Danio rerio: one gene and its partners. The protein of the gene in region 2 purifies or fractionates together with the protein of the main gene of each other region. This does not show direct contact. Links are inferred from orthologs where the notes say so. Each region holds a gene or a part of one and is shown on either strand. Other genes may lie near its edges.

Region 1 (3,674 bases), on a different chromosome or scaffold from region 2:
TTAGATTTAAGGACTGATTTAAAAGAGATTTAATGCATATTTGAGTTTGTTTTTTGTTCTGTTCATCTTCATTGTTTGAACACCTGGTTGGAAGGGAGAACAAGGTAGATGAGGACATTTTTTATACATATTGCTAAAATTTGATGCATTTGTTGGCTTGCTAATAATTTAAATTGCTATTTTATCGTAAAATTAGTCATATATTTGCAGATACTTTATAATATTGTCACTAAGTTTATTGTTTTGTCTTATTATGTGAATTTTTATTCATTATATCTTTTCTATTTGTGTTTATTCATCTGTTCTTAGCTCTTACGGTGTTGTACAGTCTTTAAGGACGGCAAATGCAACAATAAAGGCACAAAGGAGGACAGTGCAACATCAGTGCATGAGTTTAATCCTTTTATTTCTCCAACCGGGCTGTTACAATCACTTTAGACATTACGCAAGATAATCATTCAAACTGCTCTAAAGTGACGTTTGTAAACTGCCAAAGGTTTCTGCTGTTCTGACGTCAGCTGCAGATGTGAATGGCGGAAGAAAGTAGTTCCTTGTACAAAAGAGTTTTTGAGAGTCCCCGTGTTTGAATACACACAATTTAGCTGTCGAACTGTTGTATAAATGCAATATCACACTCAGAGCTTATTTATACACAAAATTTTGCTGTTGAACTGTTGTATAAACGCAATATCACACACGTAGCTTATTTATACACACAATCATGCTGTCGAACTGTTATATAAATGCACTATCACACTCGTAGCAAGATTACATTGTCAAAAATATCTTGGTTCACATGAAAATTCAAAAACTACAGAATATTCTATATCTGGCCAGTGGCCACATAATACGCTTAAATGGAAACACAATTTAGATGATTTGAGATTGCACATCGGTTCTGTTCTATGATCGGTAGTAATCTCAATGCGATGGCCAGAGGGCACTCTTGCACAGAAATACAGATTAAATTGAAATAAACGCAATATTGTGTGGTATGTCAGCAAACTACAGGTCTGTGTAGTAAATGCTGCTCTATCTAAATGCACCAGCTAATCATGGAACCGGCGTTACTGACAAAATGCAGACAAGTAGGCATGAGACGATAACAGTTTTCTAGGTATACCATGGTTTGGAAAAGTCAAGGTTTTAAAACCAAAATGTTTTACTATACCGTTCTTAAGGCATGTGTATGATATTTTACTTATGTTTTATTTAGTTTTTTTAGAACAACATATTTCCAGCAGAAAAAGAAATACTTTGTAATAGAAAAATAAATTTAGTAAAGAAATGCTATGCTGCTGTAGTGGAAACATAATACATGCAAATGACATCACCGTTTTCATTTAAATGAAGGTCAAAATGTATGGTGAGTAGACCGAAATGAAATCGCAATCAAGCAAAAGCTGCTATTCTCATGCACATCTTGTCAGGGAAGCACAGTTGTGTGATTAGTAGTAAATGTCCTTAAAAGGCCAGAGGGTGCTTCACTTAAAAAAAAAGACTTCAAATACCCATACAGTTGGGCACACAAGATTGAACTGTGTTCATGAATTTTACATGACTAATATAAGCAACTGAGTACTGACTCACCTCTCAGAATGTTTATTAAAGCTCTTGAATTAAGTTATGAAGTGAGTTTGGAGTAAAATGTATGTTATTAAATGTGATATTTTTACATGATTTCAGATGAGGCAGCAGCAGCAACAACACAGAGCCATATTCACAAAGAAGTTATACGCAGTTATTCTACATATTATTGCAGAACTATTCTCTTTTTAATCAATTATTAGATGTTTTAATCACCTGATATTTTGAACGTGATTATGCACAGCTTGTCAGTGAACTAGGCTCTATGACTAGAACCGGCTTTACTTACAAAATGTACATGAAAATCATCTTTAATTAATTGTAGCTAATAAAAGGGTAAACACTGCCTAAGTAACGTATCGTACTTTCTATTTCCATGATTACAAACTAAAAGTGTCACACAGAATAACATTTGGCCAATGACATCATATAACAGGTCATGTGATCATAACATTGCACCACCCACTCTATAAATTAGAATTCTAAAAAGGCTCTATTAAACAATCTTCCAAACCTTAAATTTTTAAATATTTACCACACAGCATTCCATAAACTAATCCAAACTTAGAACATCAACTGGCCACCTTTTGATTTTAGCAACTGTACACTTCTCAAATGTCATGAATAGGCTTCTATACTGCATAACAATACAACAGCAATCAGACACTGTGCTCTCTAAATAATAGCATCATCATATACATGTTAAACAAAACCAGTCTGAACTGTTTTGCTGGTCTCCCAGCCTAATCAGCTTGGTTTGGTCGCTGGTCTTAAATGGGCTTCATGCACTTGCTACTGTAGCATCAAAACAACTGCTTTGCTTCTAAATAGTCCAACTTAAACCAGCAAACTGTTAATAAACACATTTCAAAACAGTATTTTCTTTTCTTAGAACGACTATGTTGCAAATAGAGAGTTTGATGCTAAAAGTTGACAGTTTTCCTCCTCATTGACTCAACATAAACCACAAAATGAACATAGCGCTTTAAACACTCACATATCTCCGCAGCTTCTTCTCGGGCGGCGACTTTCTCAACCATCCCTGACAGATGATTTCTCCTCCGCTCATTTTACAGAAAGCAAAAAACACAATCAACAGCAGCAGATCAGTCTGAAGTCCTCAGATGCTGCGGGTCCATGTATGTTGAGCGCGCGCGGGGCAGTGCCGTGGATGCGGAGCTTCATTTACTGGTGATGGGACGCGTCCTGTGCGCGCTGCGGGACTCTGTGTAAACACTGCGGGCACGAACGCTCGAGTTGCTGAAGATGTAGGAAGTGTTGGTTGTCTGCTGTTTGTTTTCCCACTCACTCGCACATACACCACGCCCACTGTGTTCAAGGGACGGGACTCTTTCTCTTTGCTGTAGGGATGAACGGAGACAATGAAGCGCAAGTGTGGAGTTCGCCACACCGGCTGTTTTATGTGTAGTTGGTGTCTTTATTACATTACACCCTCTTTTGGTGGGTTTGTGTAAAGTTTGTAAGGGTGTCTGAGACGTTCAAATGTACTTTCGTGGACGGAATAACTCGGTGTTGTCAAATGAGCCGCAACAGAGCGCACTGAACGTGTTCTCGGGATTAGAAACAGCCGTCGGTAACTTCGCCCAATCTGTTGATTAGTTTGAGAAACACGTCACCTTGTGGACTGGTGTATGTAATGCACAATTTTGCTCTCAGTGCTGGTTGATTATTTACAAATAGTAGTTTTCATTACAAAAAAATATTATGTAAAATAGGCCTAATAATGTAACACACAGGCTAATTAGGGGAAAGCGGGTACGAAAGTAAAATTTTTCATAAAAAATCTAATTTTAAAACTGTTTTTAGCAGAAATACTAACCCACAAGAGTGTTTTATCAAAACCAAGTGCTATTTTGTATCGGTGTAGAACAACTTTAATATAACTTCACTTTAAACAAAGTTGCATTGTTACTTTTGACCCCATCGGTAAAGTAACAACTATATTTGCTAGATTTACTTAATCTTATTTATTTGAAATATATTTCACTATGACTTTGTTAGTATTCAAAACAACATATTTTGTCCTTTATTTTTGCAAAAAATATTTTTATTTTACATTTCAGTTC
Region 2 (2,664 bases):
TGTACATGATGGCTAAATGTTGGTAAAGTGACGTGGGAGATGAAGTTCATTACACATTCTGAAAATACCACAAGTGCCGCACAGCTTTAGTGTGTAGTGAACGAATCTGCCATATATTCTCAGACACTACTAGTCCACATCACATTCTAATTAGGTCTGTGTATAGGGATCAGAGTTGGGTAAAGTTACTTTACAAAGTAATGCATTGCAATATTAAGTTAGTCCCCCAAAAATTAACTAGTTGCGCTACTCAGTTACTTTTTTTTTTTTTTTTTTTTAAGCAAATAATGCATTACCTTACTTTTGCATTACTTTATATTACCTAGCTAAGGCTTGATCTCTTCCAGAACTTGTTGTTTTTCTTTCTTTAATGGGGGAGCTCTGCATTTCATAACTGTATAAACATACACCTACATCTACCTTTAAAAAACACATTAAAAAAATAATACTTTGGGATAATCTTATGTGAGAACTGCTTAACCCCAGAGCTATACATGCCGTGTACAGATTATTGAAAGTTTAAAGCAATGTGTTTGTTACTTTTTTACTATTTGTCTTAAGTAAAACCACTATGCATTAAGCCAATCCGCCTTTCCCTTTCTTCAATTTGTTTAAAAATAAAAATTCTCTCATTGACTGCGTGATTCATTGCGACTATTTTTAATTCAGCAATTTATTTTTATAAGCCAATTAATTAAACTAAAAAGTAACAAATATTATTGCTTTTTTTTTTTTTTTTTTTTATAATGTGTTACCTTAGTTTGAACTTAGAAAAGGAATATTATTGCGGAACTCACGTTACTTGTAATGCACTAACCCTAACACTGATAGGGATACTATGATTTATTAATCCAAATGACAATAAATTCCATGATCTTCCTCATTAAATAGTCAATATTACTATTGGATTATTTGATGCCATCCATCTTTTCAATACTGCAAAAATCATGGGGTCTTAATTTAGAATATCAAGTAAACAGAGGACAGCATGCACCATTTTATATGAAAGAAACATTATACTGGTTTCTTATAAGGCGTGCTGAAAGCTTTGACATTTCATCAAACCCTAACCTATAAAAAACAAATAAGGAAAAGCCTGAGGAAAAGATTATATCCTGCCCACCAAAAATTACAGCCAAAGGAACAAAAAAATTTTCAAAGACATGGAAATTCTTTGAATGCATAAAGCAGTACTGGTTAATATCTATTAAAATACTAATAAAGAAATACTACTCTTACAAATATCTAGGCATTAACTTTGAACACATTAAGAAATTGACATTACATGCAGTAACTGACATGCTTCATTTTGTCAAAACGCTTGAAATAGCTGCTCTAAATTAGACCATTTAGCTTGAGGCCATAACAAACTGTGCGTCATAATCCTTATTTCCATATACAAGCTGCTCTCATATAAAACAGTAAACCAATGAAAAAACACATGGGGCTTAATGACAAACCTAAGCTTTGAGTTTCTTAACATTTTCTTGCACCTACACCTAAATCCACTGACACCTTCTCAGGCTGACTAAGACATAGGTTATGTAATGTTTTCTACAAATGGACAAGGCTTTGCATGTAGGAACGGATAGAGGGGTGCTGGAACTTGCCAGATGGGATGACTAAAGTATGGAATTTCTTTTTTAGACCGTGAACAAGCCAAGAAATAGTGGTCTATGTGATTAATGTCTTTGCTGAAACAATTCTTGCAGAGATGCACAGCCAAAGTAATTTTCCAACTATGAGAAGTGAAAGTAACTTAAACCCCAGTGTAATGCACAAAGTGAAAACACAAATTCGAAAATGCAGTAAGTCAGCAAAAGAATGATCACTATTTAATTCTCTAGCATTCAACCAAAGTCATTTTTTGCTCAAACATCTAAGGAAAGTCCCTTCAAAACATAGAACTGAGCTGACAAATGTGTCATCAAAAGAAAATATTGGTCATTTCACATTACCAAGCAATCAGCACCATCTGACAAAATGTAGCAAAAGGTAAAATCCCTTTAAATGTATAACCGCTGCACCATTTCAATCTAACCAACCTAAGTGTCTATGGCAGCCAGCACTGCATCCAGCATTTAAATTAGCTAACATTTAAGCCAGTAGAAATCTATGCTGACTGAATAAACTTTGGTTTTTAGGAAGAAAAAAAATGAAGATATGTATTTAAATGCACATAAGGTTGCACATATTGCCTTTCATCAATCAAATACCTGAGTGGGTGTCAAATGCAAATACTGGCTTATGGGAGCGATCATTTAGCCACTTACCTCCAGTGCTAAAGCAGTTTTGTCATATGCGCATGGCACTCGTTTCTGGATCGCCTTCGCCAACACTGGCCCGTTCTGCACAGAAGGTAGCGGGTTGATGACAGCGCCGGGTGTACCAGGAGGAATGGGAGATGGAGTCTGAGGCTGGGCATAGGCGTGTGATGGCTCAGGGATGCCATAGCTATTGGAATTCCGTGAACCATGGATGGACTGACCAGGATGAGGCGAAGATCTCACAAGCTTTTCTACATAGGGAACAGGAATCATGCCTGTTCGGCCTTCTTTGTTCTTGGCACTCCACCACTGCTCCTCAGGCTTGTCCATAATTATTAGGATTTCACCCTTCTTGAAAGGAAGGTCTTCAGCATCGCTGCCAGTGAAGTCATAAAGA
Region 3 (3,762 bases), on a different chromosome or scaffold from region 2:
AAAGGCTGAAAAAGCCAAATACTCTAATCTTGTAAAATACTTGGCTGTTTGAGTCTAAAACGTGTTGCTGATTGCACAATGAGATAAAACATGAATTCAATAGCAATATTCCAAGAAGAGCTCCACTAGATTAAAGGAATCCAATAATAAATAAAAAACATCACATGAGCCTGGAGGAGATTTCTAACATGTTTGGTTGGAGCTCGATAGCAGGCAGAGCTGTAAGTAAGTGATTTCATTACAGATTATTGGTGTATATTACCACTAAGAGGAAGGGAAGACCCCATGGTACACATACAATGTGCGAATGACTAAATGCATTGACTCATCCAGTGCAGATAGAATGGAGAGTTAAGTGTTCAGTTGTCTTGGCAACTAAAGTTGCAGCAAACAAAGGCATTTCGTGTGATTTGGTGAAAAATAAAATGTCTAAAAACAAAATGTTGAAAATTTCACAACAGACCAGAATGATTGCAAAACAAAAAAAAATACACAAGATAGGGGAGCAAGTAACCAATCATCATTGGGGCAAGTAGTGATCTGATATTTAAAGAGCTGAACATTACAACTCAATCTAATGAATACATTGAAAATTATTTTGATATATCTGTTTACCGGCATTGTATTCTGCAACCTTGATGCATGGCAATATTCAAATCAAACAATAAGCATCACACTGGTTTTCACAGCTGGCTCTTTGTGATTACAGGTGTAGCAAAGGCCTTGGACTTGTACTGACTCCTCTTGGCATGGATGCGTGAAGTTTGATTTGGGTTATGTCTTTCTTTTTTTCTGCTTACCATGCTACACAAATCCATGTATTGATTTTATCCACTTATGGGTGCATTTACTGGAAGCTAGTTTTCCAGTACTAACTAGAATACCACAAGTTGTCTATCTGCAGCAGCTGCATATTTATTTATTCAAACTTTGTCAAGTAGCCATGTGTTCCGTTTGCGCTTTAAATATGTATATGTAGCTTAATGGTTATGGCCTGGGCACTAGCTAAAGGACTATATAAACAAATATTTCTGCTTTTGTTATTATTTGTACCTGGATCAACTATGTCATGTGATACCAACATGGCGCCACCCATGAGGGGCGACCCACGTCGTGTATAAAAAATAACCTTATCTAAAAAAATAGCACCAGAGTTCCAATGTTTCGTGATATTTCTTAAAAGTGCTCTTTGTTTATGTTTAAATCTTAACAACAAAAATAAAGGAACTGCTTCTTTAATTGATCAAAAAGTTCCCATACCGGTAGGTGTGTCTACAGAACCGATCAAGACGCCACAAATAAAGATTTGCACAAGCAAAGCTTTCACAAAAACAACCCCAGTGCAATAAACACATAAACAGCGTCCACACACACACTCAGTCGCATTTTTATGAGGAACTAAACCCGTTTTGAAACTATTCTTGGATCGTCCGCATTTTAGAAAGATAAAGCTTTAACCGACAGATCGCGAGCAGTGATTGACCTGCGGTTGCTGTTGGAAAGCGTACTGAAAATTTGCATGAATCTTGCCCCAACAGTCCTGCGGTTACTGCACTGTCGGTGCATTTGAATAAAACTAAAACGTTACTTACATAACGCCGTAACTTTTTTTCAGGTGGAGACTTTCGGAGCCACCCCGAGTAAACCACATCTCCTCCGCTCATTTTCTTAAAGGCTTTGAGGAAAACACGGGTTTTAAGTTTCGTGTTTCAGCCTGTAACATATCAAAACATATTTCTAAACATGAGTTGGAAGTTGCGCTTTGAAGTGTTTTAAGCACATGTGTTTGAAACAACATGAATACCGTCACTCCTGGTTTCCAGCACGTTCACACGGGAAGAGCTTCCCGACAGCGACGCGGCTCTCGCAAACTCTTCTGGATGAAGTCCTATCCTCTGCCGAAGGGAATATATCAAGCACAGTTTGTTTAAACACACATGTATCCGTCTGTAGTTGAGTCCCCTTTTAGTTTACACACTCTGTCCGTGTAAATAAAACGCTGTTTTCGTTTTTTTCCGAGCTGATATGCAACGAGGCAGCGACTGATACTCGCCAAGTTCGGCGTAGTGAAAGCTCTGCTTGATTACCTTATTTCAAAGTAAAACAAAACAGTTTCCTTGAAAATATGTACAGTTTTTCCTTGTTTTTCCAAAACATTATGGTCGCATTAGCACAGAAGTGCCTTTGGAAGTGGAAATCTTCCCCGATCGTCGACCTTCCCTCCAGTTTCACTCCCCACGGCTCCTTGCTGATTGACAAGCATAAACGTCGATACTTTCCCTAAACTCAGCCTCCTCTGGCCTATGGAGGCAGGGAGAAGTCGGTCAAGACACAGAATAAAGAACATTACATCATGGGAAATGTAGTCTTGGAGTGTTGCCCCGTCAGAGGGAAAACACTGGGACGGTGACTCGCATTACAAAGAATAGGTGTAAATAAACCTCTTACGTCCCAAATAAATCTTACTTACATTTGGATTAAAACTGTGAAAAACAAAGTAGCAGTGTTATTTTGTGTATAATCTTTTAACAATTAACGCGCACTGATAAAAAATAAAGAAAAAAATGGATTAGACTATAATTATATATAATTCCGATTTCACTCAATACATCTATTTATCACTTCAGTATGGTTAAAAAAGTCTCTGAACCGAGCCGGCTTTGATCATCCTTGATTGATGAGCTTCTTCACTGAGGATATTACAAATATAAATGGTAAAAAGGGTAAAACTACTGTATGTAGCTAATATATTTATAACGTGAAGGAAAATCACATTTAGGCAAGAAATGCCTGAATTAACAAACAAGCAATCAGATCAGTCACTCACACATAAAAACACAAAAAAACTAAACAGCATCGCGGATATACACTTTATAAGACGTAGAGAAAAAGTAAGAAATAAAAACATCAAAGTCTCTTGATACACTATGACGTAATTACGTCATGGCGTAAAAGACTCGCTGATGTTGTTTTTGAACCGAATCTTTAAATGAGCTGTTCAAAAGAACCGAATGGCATTTTAAAGCAAATATCTTGAAATCAATGTTGTCAGTTAACGTTAGTCTACATTTATAGCCAGGAGATGTACATATTTAAATATAGGCCTACACTAAACTTGAATTTGTTTATACAGTATGGCTTAAAGTGCAGAAAAAGATTATTTTAGAAAAATAATACTAACATCTAAAAGCAAAGAACAAGGTTGCAGGCAATGATAGAAAAGTGAAGAGTTTCAGTAAAGAACGTTCACGTTTGTGGGATTGGTATCTTTGGAATGTTATTGTAATGCTAAACGCCTCACTCAGTTATCTCTGAAGCTTTGTGCCTACTCACTGCTCTAAGTTTCAACTCAGTGCAAAGGATTTAGATTATTATCCTACAATCATTAAGCGTGTGATTTTAGGTTTTGGATTAAAATGGAATTTTTACTTTATGGAGGTGCACAGATCACATAATTAACACTAAAATACATTAATGAGTCAAAAAGACATTTTGGTAACACTTAATAATAACAACACACTATGAACCATTTATTAAGCATTAACATATGGTGAATTCATTTTCTGTTACTCTACATTAATACATGTTAGTAAGCAGGTTATAACTGCAGCTATAAATGCTCTATTCTTGACTTAGAACCACATTCATAATGTGCTTAATAATAATTATTTTCATTCTTTGTTAATGATTTATTTTTCATATTTAATGAAGTATTGCATTATTTACAAACCAATTGTATTTAAGAATAGTTGATGGTTTTTA

What was found. Proteins that work in one complex are often made in the same cells at the same time.
Region 1: the proteins of crkl (region 2) and gab2 purify together in Homo sapiens (affinity purification with western blotting; 3 studies listed by BioGRID). This does not show direct contact. The link is inferred for Danio rerio from reciprocal best matches to the Homo sapiens genes CRKL and GAB2.
Region 3: the proteins of crkl (region 2) and gab1 purify together in Homo sapiens (affinity purification with western blotting; 3 studies listed by BioGRID and IntAct, with this or other methods). This does not show direct contact. The link is inferred for Danio rerio from reciprocal best matches to the Homo sapiens genes CRKL and GAB1.

What each region holds. Positions count from the first base shown.
Region 1 is NC_133190.1:10,782,316-10,785,989, forward strand, and holds the start of gab2 (GRB2-associated-binding protein 2), read right to left. Parts: upstream 2,826-3,674; 5' UTR 2,657-2,825; coding exon 2,585-2,656; intron 385-2,584; exon of another isoform or gene 1-384. UniProt on the Homo sapiens protein: Adapter protein which acts downstream of several membrane receptors including cytokine, antigen, hormone, cell matrix and growth factor receptors to regulate multiple signaling pathways.
Region 2 is NC_133196.1:20,320,139-20,322,802, reverse strand, and holds part of crkl (crk-like protein), read right to left. Parts: coding exon 2,274-2,664; intron 1-2,273. UniProt on the Homo sapiens protein: May mediate the transduction of intracellular signals.
Region 3 is NC_133176.1:38,639,404-38,643,165, reverse strand, and holds the start of gab1 (GRB2-associated-binding protein 1), read right to left. Parts: upstream 2,299-3,762; 5' UTR 1,805-2,298; intron 1,715-1,804; 5' UTR 1,665-1,714; coding exon 1,593-1,664; intron 1-1,592. UniProt on the Homo sapiens protein: Adapter protein that plays a role in intracellular signaling cascades triggered by activated receptor-type kinases. Plays a role in FGFR1 signaling. Probably involved in signaling by the epidermal growth factor receptor (EGFR) and the insulin receptor (INSR).